Linked DNA regions of Sus scrofa. The protein of the gene in region 3 purifies or fractionates together with the protein of the main gene of each other region. This does not show direct contact. Links are inferred from orthologs where the notes say so. Each region holds a gene or a part of one and is shown on either strand. Other genes may lie near its edges.

What was found.
Region 1: the proteins of NOP2 (region 3) and RRS1 fractionate together in Homo sapiens (co-fractionation; 3 studies listed by BioGRID and IntAct, with this or other methods). This does not show direct contact. The link is inferred for Sus scrofa from reciprocal best matches to the Homo sapiens genes NOP2 and RRS1.
Region 2: the proteins of NOP2 (region 3) and NIP7 purify together in Homo sapiens (affinity purification with mass spectrometry; 3 studies listed by BioGRID and IntAct, with this or other methods). This does not show direct contact. The link is inferred for Sus scrofa from reciprocal best matches to the Homo sapiens genes NOP2 and NIP7.

What each region holds. Positions count from the first base shown.
Region 1 is NC_010446.5:68,285,022-68,290,586, reverse strand, and holds RRS1 (ribosome biogenesis regulatory protein homolog), read left to right. Parts: upstream 1-2,373; 5' UTR 2,374-2,498; coding exon 2,499-3,596; 3' UTR 3,597-4,784; downstream 4,785-5,565. Other genes in the region: ADHFE1 (hydroxyacid-oxoacid transhydrogenase, mitochondrial), read left to right, coding at 5,200-5,258. UniProt on the Homo sapiens protein: Involved in ribosomal large subunit assembly. May regulate the localization of the 5S RNP/5S ribonucleoprotein particle to the nucleolus.
Region 2 is NC_010448.4:17,642,554-17,648,118, forward strand, and holds the start of NIP7 (60S ribosome subunit biogenesis protein NIP7 homolog), read right to left. Parts: upstream 2,852-5,565; 5' UTR 2,815-2,851; coding exon 2,759-2,814; intron 2,640-2,758; coding exon 2,553-2,639; intron 2,457-2,552; coding exon 2,318-2,456; intron 1,522-2,317; coding exon 1,381-1,521; intron 1,175-1,380; coding exon 1,055-1,174; 3' UTR 1-1,054.
Region 3 is NC_010447.5:64,104,466-64,109,938, reverse strand, and holds the start of NOP2 (probable 28S rRNA (cytosine(4447)-C(5))-methyltransferase), read right to left. Parts: upstream 3,731-5,473; intron 3,442-3,730; coding exon of another isoform or gene 3,438-3,441; coding exon 3,335-3,437; intron 1,838-3,334; coding exon 1,792-1,837; intron 1,351-1,791; coding exon 1,262-1,350; intron 1,077-1,261; coding exon 838-1,076; intron 1-837. Other genes in the region: CHD4 (chromodomain-helicase-DNA-binding protein 4), read right to left, coding at 5,275-5,292. UniProt on the Homo sapiens protein: S-adenosyl-L-methionine-dependent methyltransferase that specifically methylates the C(5) position of cytosine 4447 in 28S rRNA. Required for efficient rRNA processing and 60S ribosomal subunit biogenesis.

The DNA.
Region 1 (5,565 bases), on a different chromosome or scaffold from region 3:
ATAAAGATGATACAAGTGCAAGCTGGATACCACCACATACCTACATGCCTAAGGTATTTTTTAAAGCCCCAAATCCCAGTCTTACTAGCTTTGCTCGAATATAACAGCCAATATTAATCCCTTTTTAATTTAGAAAAGTCTACTTATTAGGCTTATCCTTTCAAGCAATCATGTGTTGAACTCCTAGCATGTACCTAGCAGTAGGCCCAGCAAAGGTAAGTAAAAATCAGTCTCTGGTTATCAAGGAAATTAAAATTGACTTGGATTATTTAAAAAAAAACACTTGAGCATAAAACAAAGTTCAATTATGAGCTAATCTATATGATTCAAACCAAACAGTACTGCATCCAGTGAGAATTCATACCATTCAACACCTATTGATACCTGCTCTTTTTTTTCCTAACTCAGAAGATTGACAGAGGAGCTGAATTCCACATTATTGTACTTCCTATTTAAGGCTTAATCATGTCATATTGTACATTTCTCTTAACTTCCTTTCTTCCTCACTGTTCCATAAGGTCTCAGTAATCTTTGTATCTATTGTCTGGAACATGATAGTCATTCAAATTTTTGTTAAATGAATGAATGAATGAATGAATGAATTAGAAGCTAAGTCGAGCCCAGAGCAGCCCTTTCAAGGTCCTTAATGTTCTCCTATGGCAAATCCCCAAGGCTTTAATATTCAAGGCAGTTACCTAATATGACCTTTGACCTAGCTTTGGCCCCAAAGAGTGATTGGTAAAAAAGAGTTGGTGTTGAATGTTAAGACAAAGGCTCAGAAAAACCGCAGCAAATCTTGAAAATGCTTTTGGAAAAGAGAAAAAATATTATAACCCAATTCCTGGGGCATAAAACATGCTCACTAAATGTTTAAAGAGTGAATAAACAAAGCAGAACTGAGGAAAAACAGTGAGCTCAAGAAGAGACGAAACTCAGGGGGGCAGATGTGATAGATGGGGCTGTAGCTAAAGCCCTCTTGAGCTCACCCTCAACTAAATCTATTCCAAACAGCGATATCTATATTCATGGGTTAATTCTCCAACTAATCCCTTCTTCAGTAATCCAATTAAGATAAAATAAAACCTGTAAACCACACAACCAGCAGTGCCTCCCAAACTTGACCATACTCATCACCTAGCTATCTTGTTAAAAATGAAGGTTCTAAATCTTTACATTTGGGGTGAGGCCAAAGAGTCTACATTTCTAAGGCCCAGGTCACCACACCACACTTTTCAAGTATCAAGAGCCTGTAAAACATTGCAGAGAATATTCATGTAGTCTTAAAGCCAGCGTTAAAATAAATCCTGCTCCCAGCTTCCCTAGTTGTAAAACCTTAGACGTCATTTTACCTCTCTGAGTCTTCTGTTGTCATCAGTGGAATATGATGAATTACAGTAACTAACACTTACTGAATGCTTACTATGTGCCAGTAACTAATGCTTCATATTTATTAACTTATAGGACTTATATTAAACAATCCGTCCAAAGCAGGTACAATAAACATGGATCTTATTCTAGGTCGTTTAATTCAAGAGCCTGGTGTTTAATCACTGTGTAAGATTGCCCTTCCAGCCACAGCTCCTCAAGCCATTACGAAGATTAAACAGTAATTGGTATTTAGCTCACCTTCAGAGCACTGATATCCAGACCCTAGAGTAAGCTCCCTTGGGGGCATATTAACTCATTTATCTTTATAGTGGCCCTAGGAGGTAGGTACTATTAGTACTTTCATCTTACGGGTTTTAAAATAGGGCCAAATAAGTTAAACAGTTGAAGTTCAAACACCAGCGCAGTCAAGATTGTAACCAAGGCGGTCTAACAGAAGAGCCAGTCGCTCTTTAGCCACTAGCCAGGAGAGGATGTGAGAGGATGTAGCCCGGGGCGGGGAAGACCAGGCATCGGGCGGCTGGGATGGGGTCACGGCCGTGCCCACTCAGAGCTGCCTATGGCTTCCAAAGCAAACCAAGTCTTCGTCTACACTTGGCTTTAAGTACATCCGTGGGAAGGACCTCTGTCGGCCCACACCCAGGGCCCCATGGGCTCTGGTGAAATATAATTTATCTGTTCCCAAGAAGAACTGACTTAGTAAGTATCTTGAGAACTGACTTAACTTAGTGTAACACAGTCGCTCCGAGACCCCCTTATTCTGGGGCCCCCAAAATTTTCACTGCCCCTCCCTCCCTCACGCCACTGCCTAGTGGAAGCCCCGGTGCCAGTCAAACCTTGGACTTCGTAGTGCGCGGGTTCCTCGCTCCTGCTCCGCCTACATCCGGGCTGGAGCCCAAGGGCCGTCTCTAACCCCATCTGTTCTCCAACACCGCCCTCTGCCGGCCCTTCTTCGGGTCGCCCGCGTTGTGAGCCTTTTCCGGCTGCTCCGGAAGTGGAGCTTTCTCTTCCGGGACGAGCGTCTGGGCGACTGCACGTGGCTGTGTTGCCTTGGCCTTTGCCGGCGCTACTGGAGAATTGATTGGAACTGTTACCCCGGAACAGCCGGAGCCATGGAGGGCCAGAGCGTGGAGGAGCTGTTGGCAAAGGCGGAGCGGGACGAGGCGGAAAAGCTGCAGCGCATCACCGTGCACAAGGAACTAGAGCTGGAGTTCGACCTGGGTAACCTGCTGGCCTCCGACCGGAACCCCCCGACCGGGCTGCGGCATGCGGGACCCACGAAGGAGGCCGAGCTGCGAGCCCTGGCGCGGGACAACACGCAGCTGCTCATCAACCAGCTCTGGCAGCTGCCCACCGAGCGCGTGGAGGAGACGCTGGTGGCGCGGCTGCCGGAGCCCACCACTCGACTGCCGCGCGAGAAGCCGGTGCCCCGGCCGCGCCCTCTTACACGCTGGCAGCAGTTTGCGCGTCTCAAGGGCATCCGTCCTAAGAAGAAGACCAACCTGGTGTGGGACGAGGTAAGCGGCCAGTGGCGCCGCCGCTGGGGCTACCAACGGGCCCGCGATGATACCAAGGAATGGTTGATTGAGGTGCCGAGCAATGCCGACCCCATGGAGGACCAGTTCGCCAAGCGTATTCAGGCCAAGAAGGAACGGGTAGCCAAGAACGAGCTGAACCGGCTGCGTAACCTGGCCCGCGCGCACAAGATGCAGCTGCCCAGCGCGGCCGGCATGCACCCTACCGGACATCAGAGTAAGGAAGAGCTGGGCCGCGCCATGCAGGTGGCCAAGGTCTCCACCGCCTCTGTAGGGCGCTTCCAGGAGCGCCTGCCCAAGGAGAAGGCGCCCCGGGGCTCTGGCAAGAAAAGGAAGTTTCAACCCCTTTTTGGGGACTTTGCAGCTGAGAAGAAGAGCCAGTTGGAGATGTTGCGAGTAATGAACAGCAAAAAGCCTCAGCTGGACGTGACCAGAGCCACCAATAAGCAGATGAGGGAGGAGGACCAGGAAGAAGCGGCTAAGAGGAGGAAAATGAGCCAGAAGGGCAAAAGAAAGGGAGGCCGACAGGGTCCTGGGGGTAAGAGGAAAGGTGGCCCACCCAGCCAGGGAGGGAAGAGGAAAGGGGGCGTGGGAAGCAAGATGAATTCCGGGCCGCCGGGCTTGGGTGGCAAGAGAAAAGGAGGGCAACACCAAGGAGGAAAGAGGAGGAAGTAAATTTCAGCCTCGGACTTGTTTGTAAACCAAGAACTGTACTTAATGTTGACATCTAGGCACTGTAGGGGGACACCAAAGATGTGGCCCCTGCCTTCACTGAGCTTGAAGTTAAAGGGACAGCCTTGCCCTCCTCTGAAAATAGTATGTAAATATTGCACAGGACAAATTAATGTTATTTCCCACAACCAAAACTTTGGCTGAAGATTAAAGGATGTATTTAAGGCTATACGAATTAGGGAAAGAATTTGGTCGAAATTAGGAGTGAGTTCTGTTTTTAAACAGACTTTTTTTTTCCTTGTAAACTTTGTATGTGGTGTGAGGGAGGTCATATTTCAAAGACTTTTAGCATTGTTTTGATAACAAGCTTCTGTATTTATCAAAGTGGGGGAACAAAAAGATTACAAGGTTACATTTTCAGAACTGTTGTAAAGGCCATTTAATAAAGGTATGTCTGGATCTAATATTGCTTTCAAATTTTGTAAGTTTTAAGTAAAGCCAGTGACCTGGATACGTGTTACAGATTATTTTCATTTACTTTCTAGAAGATATCCACCAGCTAACTTATGACGTTAGCAAGACCGCTTTATTAGGAAAACTCATGCTCCTTTTGATACCTGATATATTATTGAAAGTGTACAACTGGTGTCTCTTTGAACACTGAAAACATTAATTTGCTCTAGCTGATAAATTTGTGCTTCACTAAATAATGCAATCTTAATTAATCCTAATTTTATACTTAAATTTTTATCAACATTTATGTCTCCAGTTCTTTTAAAGCTTCAAGTGGGATCTGTTTGGGGAAGAGAGAAACCCACAAAAACCTTGGAACATTATTATCTTTAGATTCATTTGTCACATTGACTTGAGCTGGTTTAATTAGGAGATGAAATGTTTACAGCTATCCTGGGTTTCTTTCCTTAATTGATTTCAGTAACTCACCTTCCTAAATATCTCCTGAAAATTAACAGTAAATCTAGAATGGGGGGAGGGGGCTTTTTTCTGCTGTTAGAGCTCTAGGGAGCCACTCTACTCTTGGTTTTTGGTCTGACAATTGATAGGAAATTAGAATTGGGAGTTCGTTTTGTCTTTTTTTCAGTGTTGTTCCCTTTTTACAAAGTTGTAGAAATTGCTATGAAAGAAAGGATTAATTCAGATTTCATAATGGGTTAATAAAAATATGTTCAATTGTTACTGTCTTAAGATAACTTTCTGATAAAGAGCTGTGCCATCGATAGTGTTTCTGCTAGGACAGGGGGCAGAAGGCAACATAGCATTTTAAAGGAGTCAGAGTGGAAAAGAATGCTCTTTCTCCACATTTCCCAGGTCTCCGACTAGTGACAAAGAGGATTTACACAGAGACTTGGGGAAGTATCCTAAACAGTTACCTGCATGGCAATTTCAAAGGCGGAGGGTGAGACCCTGCAGCTGGAGCAGTCGTAGTTCCGCCTCGTGGGAGAATGGCCTGGAGCCGGAGGGCTGCTGTGGGGGGCGCGAGACCCAGCGGAGCGGGTGGGCGGGCGCGGCCGAGGGGGCGGAGGGGAAGCCAGCGGCACGGATTGGCCGGCGGTGGGGGCGGGGCCCCGAGGAGGGAAACGGTGCAGCCATGGCCGCTGCCGCTCGCGCCCGGGTAGCACACTTGCTGAGGCAACTGCAGCGCGCAGCGTGAGTACGGGGTCGGCAGGCGGGCAGGGGACAGCGCATTCTTCCCGCAGTCATTTTCAGGAACTTTGGATCGCGTTGCCGCAGTGCGCGCCCGCGGCGAGCCAGCCTAGACAGCTCCGTCCCTGTGCCAAGCAGCCAGCGCTGCGCGGTGAGGCCGCTTGTACTCTGCCAGTTCTACGTTAGGGAAAGTAAGCCCCAGAAAGGAGAGCACCCGGTCTCAGATCAGGGCGGGCAATGGAGAGCCTGGCACAGTGACCAAGACAAATGCATGTGTCCAACCAACACATACGTACTGGGTGTATGTTAT
Region 2 (5,565 bases), on a different chromosome or scaffold from region 3:
TGTCAGGGTCTCTGATTAGTGCTTTTTATCTAGTCAAGTATTTATAAGGATATATATATGGGTGTGTATATACATATACCCAAATCACTTTGCTGTACACCTGAAAACTAACAAACTACTGTAAATCAACTACACTTCAATAAAAAATTTCAATTAAAACAAAACACTTAAAAGAGAAGTTGTTTTAGGAAACGAAGGTGATAAAAAGTAACATTTGGCCTGGAATCACACCATTCAAGAAAAAGAAAAATCGAGAAAACCACCTGTAAAAGCCAGGATAACATATCAAATTATAGTCATACGATGCTACTCTTAATAACAGAAATATTCAGTATAAGCATTATAAAAATAATTCTTACCATTTATTCAGTTTTGCCAGGCACTGTACTAGGTACTTTACAATCATGATTTCTAATTCTAAAAACCATGCTTAGAAAGACAGTTCTGTTTTTTTAAAACAAAAGAAGGAAATGAATCTTATTAAAGTTTAACGACTCATCTAAAGCCATACAGCTAGTAAGTGTCAGAAGCAGTGTTTGAATCCAAGTTTTTCTTCCATACCACACAGCACCTACCATAAAGAAAAGCAACAGAATACACTGCTCTTACTATTTTATCCAAATTTCATTTGTAAAATCCCCACAGTCTACTATTCTGATATGGCAATATCTATCTTTCACAGTGTTAATAAATTATTAAGGAAATCCATTATGTTTGTGTTTGGATAACAGTGTTATCATAGATAACAAAAGTACGCTATTCTTGTCCTCGGGTCCAACAATTTAGAACCTGTTACTCAAAACAAGAAGCCCTCTGATTCAAACATAAAACACAGATTTCTATTGAGTCACAATCACAAAGATCCGAAACTCCATTTTTGAGCCACTTCTGCATAATAAGAATCCAGCCTGGATTTGTCCATGATAGAATGTTAAACTAAGAAGTCCCTGAAGAGGTCAGTGTTGACAAAATTCACCATGACGGTGGAGCCTACACAGACACAGGAAAAGCTAGGCCCTTCCACACAGCCTTAAGTCCTCTCGATGACTTCGTTTTAAGTCAATGTCTCTTCATGCCGCACATATTCCCCAATGTCTGCTTGATGAAATACCACAATCGCCATGGGGTCTACTTTCCTGCAGTCTTGTGTAGACTTTGCTGCCACCCCAAAACCCTGGGATTCAAAAGAAGAGACACTGATTCACTCAAGTCATTCGATGAGCACGCATTAAGATTTGGAAATAACACAGATGAAAAAAATATAGTTCTTTGAGGACTTCAAAAGGTGCTGAGATCTTAGTCTCTCAAGTGAAGATTGAAAATACATCCTTCTTAAACAAAAAGATACTTGATTTTTTAACAGCTACCACATGTACTCACCAAAGGGATGTCTGCCATGGAGTACACCACAACTCCCTGGTACTGTGAAGTATTTTCAGTGATTCGACCAAGTCCAGATTTCAGCACATGGTTCCCATACAGGAAGGACTGCTCTGCTCCAGGCTTTATCCACACTTTATACTACAATACAAAGAATTACATCCAAGAGACATAATAAAAATAGTTAGATGCCTGCAGACAAGCTAGCTGCTGAATCTATGGTTAATTTTTTTCTTTCTTTATGAACAAAGTTTTTTTTCTTTTCTTTTTTTTGTCTTCTTAGGGCCACACCCGTAGCATATGGAAGTATCCAGGCTAGGGGCCAAATTGCAGCTGCAGCTGCCTCAGCAACGTCAGATCTGAGCTGCCTCTGCAACCTACACCACAGCTCACCACAAGGTCCAATCCTTAACCCACTGAGCCCAGGGATAGAACGTGCATCCTCATGGATACTGGTCGGGTTCCTTAACCGCTGAGCCACAACAGGAACTCCCCCATGCTGTTTATTTCATCCCTGTACTTCCTTTATCTCATAATACAAATTTCAAGGAAAAGAAAGAAAAAGGCATGCTTCCCTCAAACTGTTCAGAACTGCTAGGAGGTTCCTTCAACTCTACAATCGACCTTTCCCACGGGCAGTTTAACGGCTTTTTCTGGATCCCACTATGCTCCTCACCGCAGCCTCCTATTTACTTTTTCCTCTTGAACTAGATCAGAAAAGGCTTTTCTACTTTGCTGGAGATACTACTCCAATCACTACGCAGCCCCAACCACGCCCAAGCAGCAAGATCTAAGTAGGAACATCTCCAGGTGCTGGCACTGATCCTAGGCACCCTCAGGGACTAACGCAGGTGCCCAATTATCTGCAGTCTGATGTGGCCCTCAGCCTAGACCGCCCCCATCCCTAGAAGCGGGCTGAAAACCACTCCCCACAAACCTTGGCATAAGGTGCTAAGTAATCCAGAGCTGTGATGTGCAACCGAAACTTGTGGGTCTTCGTGAATTTTCCAAAGCACGTTCCCAGCGACATCAGCTTGTCACCAGAGATATTAGCGGCCAATTTTAAGATCTTTTCACTGAAAGGGTAAGGAAGAAGGAGGTGTCAGATAAGGGAGGCTGGTGGGACCCAGGCCTCCACCCGGGTCCATGCTGCCTACCCAGCCCCGCCTCACCTCACATAGTAAACCCGGTCGTTGTGCAGCCTGAAACAGTAGGTGCCGTCGGGCCTGTCAACCAGCAGCTGAAGATTCTCCCCGATGCTGAAAGCAGAAAAGAGGCTGGAGGCTGCGCCCGGACTCGTCCCGGCCCCGCGGCCCCGCTCTACCCACAGCCCTCCCCGCCATGCACGCACTCCCTCATCTGCCCCGGGCGTTCTTACTATTTTGCTATCTTCTCAAACATTACACGCGTCTCCTCTTCAGTCAGAGGCCGCATTTTCCCGCTGGGCTGGAACACCGGATCCTCGTGCCTCAGTCGCCGGAAACGGAAGGCCAGCCTCCCGCCTCTCCTTGGCAACCTCAAATCCGGCCTCTCTAGCTGCCTTCGCGTGGTTCGTCACGCGAGCGCCCCGCGGCCTTGGAGGACCAGCGGGGAATGCAAGCCGGCCGGGTGAGGCGCCATGGAGACCGGAAGTGCGGCGTTGCTTCCGGTCCTGGATTCCGAGCCAGCGCCCTCGCCGAGCGGGAGGCGAAGGGACGCCGCTGCTGAGAAGATGGCGGCGACGGAGACGATCCCTGCTTCAACTGCGGCCTCGGCCACGGCGACGGCCACTGCGGCTGCTCTCGGGGAGGTGGAGGATGAAGGGCTCCTGGCATCGCTGTTCCGGGACCGCTTCCCAGAGGCCCAGTGGCGGGAGCGGCCCGACGTGGGCCGCTACCTCAGGGAGTTGAGCGGCTCGGGGCTGGATCGGCTGCGGCGCGAGCCAGAGCGCCTGGCGGAGGAGCGAGCGCAGCTGCTGCAGCAGACGCGCGACTTGGCCTTCGCCAACTACAAGACCTTCATCCGCGGCGCCGAGTGCACCGAGCGCATACATCGCCTCTTTGGCGACGTGGAGGAGTCGCTCGGCCGCCTGCTCGACCGCTTGCCCAGCTTCCAGCAGAGCTGCAGGTGCGGCGGGCCCAGCGTTTAAGGGGCTTTTAAGAGCTGTGACAGCTAATATTTACGATGAGGGAAATAGCTAACACTTAGATAGCGCTTACCAGGTGCCACGCTCTCATCTGAGCATTTTATTAATCCATTTAAACGTCACAGCAGCCTTCGAGGTAGGTATTATTCCCATTTTGTATATGAGGAAGTCGAGACACAGAGGTTAGTGACTGACACAAGGCACAGCTAGTAAGTCTCGAAGTCAAAATTGGAACCCAGCAGCCTCGTAGGGCTGTCGTGAGCGCTAAGTAGAGAATCCATGCAAAGCACTTATCATTGGATCTGACATAATTAACACTCTACAGTTGTCACCTTCATACATATACACACAACACACAGGTACACACAGTAGCTTGGACCAGGGTCGTTGGCTCCAAAACTTTCATTGATAGGAGAATGCCAAGGAAATCCTCTCATTCGGGGGCAGTAAAAATTATCCAAAAAATCCAAACAAACCGTCCTATCGGAACCATATTCTTTTTTTTTTCCCCTCCCTTTTTAAGGCTGAACCCACAGCATATGGAAGTTCCCAGGCTAGGGGTCGAATTGGAGATAACAGCTGCCAGCCTATGCCACAGCATTGCAAGATCCAAGCTGTATCTGCGACCTACACCACAGATCACGGCATTTCTGGATCCCCAACCCACTGAGTGAGGCCAGGGATCAAACATGTGTCCTCGTGGATACCAGTCGAATTCCTTTCCACTGCTCCACGACAGGATCTCCTCGAGCCATATTCTGCCTCTCTCGAACCTCAATCCACAAATTCTGCTTTCCAACCTCACATGATAAAAGTTTCAAGTTTTCTTTGTCTTTGCACATTTGACCATGGCTTCTGTACTCTTCCAATACCCTACAAAAGACAGGGAGCTTCATAAAGCAGGACTTTACAGTTATGGGGAAGAAATGGAGACTGCAGCAGGAACTAAGGATGGACAGTGGCATAGGAGAAGATTAAGAGGCTGAGGGAACTTGGGGTTAAGGTTGTAGTTTCTAGGTTAGGCAGGCATTATGAAAAGAAGAATAGCTGTCATTGGAGGTGCCATTGTGGCTCAGTAGAAATGAATCTGACTAGCATCCATGAGGACGCAGGTTTGATCCCTCGCCTCCCTCAGTGGGTTAAGGATCCAGTGTTGCCATGAGCTGTGGTGTAGGTCGCAGACGTGGCTCAGATCTGGTGTTGCTGTGGCTGTGGTGTAGGCCAGTGGCTGCAACTCCAATTGAACCCCTACTCTGGGAACCTCCATGTACTGTGGGTGCGGCTCTAAAAAGACAAAAAAGGAAAAAAAAAAAAGAGCAGCTATTATTAGAGGAACATTTACTCTGTGTTGGGTTCTGCATTAAATGTTTTATATACATGATCTAATTTAATCCTCACATCCTTATGAGGTGGGTCTTATTACTATTTTACCAATGAGGAAACTAAAGACTACCTTGTTACAGCTTGTTCAGTGACAGATCTGGGTTCAAACCTTTTTTTATCATTTATTAGTTGTGTGATCTTGGACAACTTGCTTAAAGTCTTGGGTTAAAATTTCGTCAAGGATAAAAGTATTTAACTTCATGGGTGTGGTATGAAGATTAAATCAGAAAAATCATCCAGCCCAGTGCCCAGTTCATAGTAAATGCTCGGTAATTGCAGTTAAGGTGGATGCAGAACCACTAACGTTCTCCTGATTGTTACTAGGAATTTTGTGAAAGAGGCTGAGGAGATCAGCTCCAATCGCCAGATGAACACCCTGACTCTAAACCGGCACACAGAAATCCTGGAAATCCTGGAGATACCTCAGCTCATGGACACCTGTGTCCGGAACAGCTATTATGAAGAGGCCCTGGAGCTTGCAGCCTACGTACACCGACTGGAGAGAAAATACTCCTCCATCCCTGTCATCCAGGTAGCCAACTTGCCCAGAGAGGACTCAAACTGATGTGCTTGTTATAATTCTGTGGTCATCACTGAACCATTAGGCAGAAACCTTAGGGAAACTCCTTGCATGCTTCTGCCAGCCAGGCAGGCTTAATCATAAAATATACATTCAT
Region 3 (5,473 bases):
GTTTCTCACGCAGTTAAAATCATTACGCATTTTCAAGAGTGTTTCTTGACTTTTTTCATAGTTAGATCACAAGCATTTTCACAAACATAACGGCCAACTGTTAATTAGCATACGAATAAACCACAATTAACTTAAGCATATTGGGCATTTGGAAGTTTCCAGAGTTTTGGCGTTATGGTCCACATGGTGCCTCTAAGTCTCAAAATAGTAGCTCTGTAAAGGGGGGGGTTGTGGGACAAAGGTGCAAGTGGGGACTTTCTTTGTATTCCATACAAAGAAATTGCTTCAATTTTCCTAATTACACACTCACATACTAACTGTACAGTACATAATAACTTCTCCTACTTCAGTAAATAAATCGTTGTCTACGTTTTGGATCCTCTTCCTAGGACAGAATCACCAAGTCAAAAGAAAAAAATCTTTTTTTTTTGTCTGTTTGACATTTCTTGGGCTGTTCCCACGGCATATGGAGGTTCCCAGGCCAGGGGTCAAATCAGAGCTACAGCTGCCGGCCTACGCCGGAGCCACAGCAACACAGGATCCGAGCCGCGTCTGCAACCTACACCACAGCTCATGGCAACATCAGATCCTTAACCCACTGAGCAAGGCCAGGGATCGAACCCGCAACCTCTGGTTCCTAGTCGGATTAGTTAACCACTGAGCCACAACGGCAACTCCCCAAAGAAAAAATCTTTTTGAGGTTCACAGATACCAAATAAAATCCTTGTCCTCTACACAGGCTTATCCTCGTCACCAAGGGACAGTCAGTCTCAACGATCTGGAAAGACTCAAAAAGGCAAAGATCGCTTCCTGGAGACCCAGAGAGACAGAGCTCACCTCTTCACTGTCATCCTCTTCTTCGTCCTCTGAACTGGAGTTGGCTCCATAGTCATCTACCATATCGGCATCACTGTCCTCAGAGCCCCAGAGGTCCCCCTCGTTCACCACACCACCCTCTTCAGAGTCTTCCTCCTCTCCCTCCTCCTCACTGCTATAGGCTGATGCTGGGCGCTTCTTGCCTTGAGCAGCATTAAATAAGGACAGGGCTCCCTTCTTACTCGGTGTCTGGACGGCTCCTGCAGAGATCCCAAAGGGTTTGAATACCGGGCTGAGAGCAGTCACACATTAATGAGGCCTGTACTCTCTACCCCCACAAATGTCCTTTGGCTGTTCCTTTCACTCCAGAAATGATCAGCAAGCTCTTCCCTACCCAGGACCCAGTGTACTCCTCACATAGCACCCAGCTCCTATTTTCACTGACCTTTTGGTAGCTTTCCAGGCAATGGTCTGGCCCCAGGGGATTTATTTGTCTCACGGACTTCAGCAGAGCCCAACCTCCTCTTGGCTGCCCTGAAAAGACATAAGGAGTAAGGAAATGGAATACCCCTCCAGGCTCTGCCACTTCCCACTGCAGGGAACCATGACAGTCCCCAAAGAGCCCTTTCCATCAGCAGGGTCACATGGGATCATGTGCCCAAAGATGAGCAGGACCAATTTAATCTGCCTGTGTAACATAAATGTGGACATTCACACTCACCTCTTTCTTTCCTTTTTTTTTTTTTTTTTTTTTTTGGTCTTTTTAGGGCCGCACCTGAGGCACATGGCTGTAGCCACCGGCATACACCACAGCCACAGCCACGCCAGATCCGAGCCTCGTCTGCAACCTATGCCACAGCTCATGGCAACACTGGATCCTTAACCCACTGAGCGAGTCCAAGGATTGAACCTGCATCCTTAAGGATGCTAGTAGGATTCGTTTCCACTGAACCACGACAGGACTCCTACACTCACCTCTTTCGAGCACGACTGGACAGCCTCTTGGAATTTTCATCACCAGCTGTTTAAAAAATCAAAAAAAGGAAGAGAGGAGGTTATGAGAAAATAAAAAGCAGGAGAGAAAATAAAAGGGCAGAGAATTAGGACAGTAGTTAAAGGGAAGAGATTGTAACTCACTCCACTGTGCTCTACAGGGAGCCGGGTAAAGAGATGTAAAGGAGCTGATCGCCATCTGGCTGCTCATCAACCAAATCCAAACTGGGCCTCCCTCCAGACTGATTTCAAAAAATAGCATCATCGCCATTCTGAAACTTTCAAATCTTTCTTCTGCCCTTTCTTTTATCTAATCAGTTGCCAACCACAGATTTCAAAACTACTGCTTTTCCTATATTCTCCAAGAAATAGAAAGTTTAAAGCCCTCCTATTTTTTTTTTTTTTCCTTTTGTCCTTTTTTTAGGGCTGCACCGGAGGCGGCTTATGGAGGTTCCCAGGCTAGGGGTCCAATCAGAGCTGTTGCTGCCAGCCTACACCACAGCCACAGCAACGCCAGATCCTAGCCATGTCTGCAAACTACACCACAGCTTAGGGCAGCACCGGATCCTTAACCCACTGAGCAAGGCCAGGGATCGAACCCGCAATCTCATGGTTCCCAGTCGGATTCATTTCCACTGCACCAAGACTGGAACTCCATAAAGCACTATCATTTTATAACTATACAAATTAACCTCTCAGCATCCATTTCCTCGGCAGTGCCTCTCTCACAGGACACAGAGAATGAAGTGATATAATGTGTCCAGCGGGTTCAGCATTGTATTTACCACTTACCTATACTTCAATAAACTGCATCTTTTAGACAATACTCAACACAAACTACCTGCAGTAGACTCCTGACCAAGTGGGAGCCAGCTCTGTGCCTTCCCATCTCCTCTACAATGCAGTTCACAGTGACTGGACTGTCCCGTTCCCAACTTCCACCTGCTAAAATGTCACCCACTTCTCAAAACCCAACTTCTTTTTTCTCCTTCTCTTCTTTTTTTGTCTTACAATCTTTTGTGTCCAGGGCTGATTTTCAATAGATCACACCAAGGGAGCTGCATGGCTACCTATGAAACCCCCACACAGAAGCAGGTCATCTAAGAAGAGCTTAGTGCAAAACCCAACTTCTTGGAAGTTCCTGCTGTGGTGCAGTCGCTTAACGATCAGTATGGTAGGTCACAGCTCCAGTTTGGATTCGCTCCCTGGCCTGGGAACTTCCACATGCTGCCGAGACGGCCAAAAAAAAAAAAAAAAAGTCACAAAATCTTTTCAAACTTGGCAACTCCGTGGAATCCTGCTTCCTCTGAAGGCCCTAAACATTAAACCACACATCTCCTTGCATGGGAACTTGTGCCCGTCACATCTTCCCTAATTTCTAAACGTTTATGAGATTGTTCCATTCATATTTACTTCCTAATAACTCATGAACACACAATCTAAAAAACTGAGGGATTACACTACAGATGGAAGAACGGCGCAAAAGCTAGAGAATCGGAAGGGGACGGGCACGCCTGACCCTTACCTGCAGGCAAGAATCTGACGAGTTCGGTCTCAGCACCTTTCTGCTTTCGGGCCTTTCGGCCCGGCCCGCGTTTCTCCTTCGTAGGGTCCAATTTGCGCCCCATGGTACTGAGGAAAACAAAAACGAGAGACAGTAGAGTGGCGCGTGTTGTCCGGGAAAGGCAGAGAGCAGACGAAGCAAGTTGAAGTGGAAAAGGGCACTGCCTTGACGAGAACCTCGACTCAGCAGCCCCACTGCCCCTCGAGGCCTGGCCACACCTCCACTACACGCTGAGCCCCGGGCCCTGGGTCCCACACCGCTGGTACAACGTCCCCTTCCCACGCCCCGGTCCAAGTGGACGCCTCACCCTTCCTTCCTCGACTTCCTGCAGAAGACCCGCCCGAAGCTGCAGCTCACCTGGAAGCGGGTCCAGTCCCGAGAAGGCCCTAGGAAGCAGCGACAGCACTCCACGTGTGGTGCGGGGCTGGCGCTCCGACGCCACACCACGGGAACGTCTCGCGCAAGCGCACAGCGCGCCCGCTGAGGCCCCGCCTCTTCCGGGCTTCCCGTCCGCCGCGGAAGCCGGAAGTTTCATTCGCGCGGCCGCGCGGGGCAGGCGGTGCAGAGGGCGGCCGGGGAGGACCGCTCTGCTCTCTCCCAGGTGGAGAAGGCGGCGCGTAGGGGGACGCCTTTAGCTTCCCCGCCCTTCCCTCCAGATGTGGGCCTTACGCCTTATGGCGGATTTCGTCCGAAAAACTGGTACCCAAAAGACGGCCCCTCCCTTCGGACGGAGGCGTCAGAGCCGGACCCTCTTTCGCCCCACGTCTCAAGGTCGCACCCACTCCCAAGTCCTGTGACTTTGAAACCTTCTTCCTTGACACCATACCCCGCGCTGCCCCTCAGGTAAGGGAACTCTCTGCCTTGGTTCCCATACGAGAGGTCGGGAGGACGGCATCTTGTGTTCTCACTTCACACAAACAGAAAACCCAGAGCAGCCTTTCTTGAAATAAACCCTAAGGTGGTGCTTAGCAGCTGTTCAAAACTGCTCCGGCACTTCGCTGGTTTGTCTTCGCAATGTTGCGAGGAAGATTCTCCTTTGATTCTCTACAGCAGACATCTACAGCCTGGAGACGGCCGCGAAGCTGGGAGTCAGGCTTAGGCTGTGAACCCAGGGGGCTCCGGAGCTCCTCGCAGCGTGCAGGTGGTGGCGGCCGGAGCACGAGGGTAGGTGCACAGTCCAGATTTCGTGGAGTCTCAGGACACAAGGAAACCCTTGGTCTTCAGCTGCACTGTCCCAAGGCTCCCGTCGGACACACCCACCTGCACCTACACCCACACTGAACCAGAGCACTAAAATACAAGGAAACTTTTATTTTCAATTTTTGTCAAGAAATTTGCTGTGGTTTTTTATGCTTTTGGTTCTTTTCCTTTTTTTTTTTTTTTTTTTTTCCAACTTTATTTCATTCTAGCCGCTCAGGGGCTGGAGCCGCTGGGTTCCTGGTATTAAAAAGATGCCAACAGAGGTAGCTGTGTCTCGCCCAGGGGCCCGGCCCACTGTGAATACCCCCCAAAAAGGAGAAATGAAAACACAAAATAAACCAACAAAATAAAACCAAAAGGAGGAAGAAATTCAGATCATTTTCTTCAAGCCTGGCGGGAACCCACAACAGTTTGTGTGTAACAGACGTTACAGTGGGGAGAAGCCAGGGCCCAAAAGGCCAGCCCGCCAGCTCCCTGCAGATGGCGCCGGCGCTACTGCTGCATGTCTCTCCAGCAGGAAGGGCACCACTGCCCCTCACTCCCTCCCCTCCCCCAGTGCACTGGGGGCTGTTCCTCTACAGCTTGGAAGATGGGGCAGAAGGGAGGAGAGGGTCTCTCAGGCCCCCAGGGGAGAAGCTGGGCAAGGGAAAGTGAGGAAGGTCACTGCTCAGCGGTGGACGTGGTATCATCCATCTGGATCTTCACTGCTGCTGGGCTACCTAGAGAAAGAGAGAGCCAAGAGGGTCAGAATGTCAGACCCCAGGAACCCTCCTGACCCCAAAGGAACTCACTGGTGGACCAGCCCCACCTGCCCAATGTGTAAAGCCAGGGACAGACAGCAACGTTACAAGTTCCAGAGTGGCTCTGCTGGAACAGATGGCCAGAGGAAAATGGTCCTAT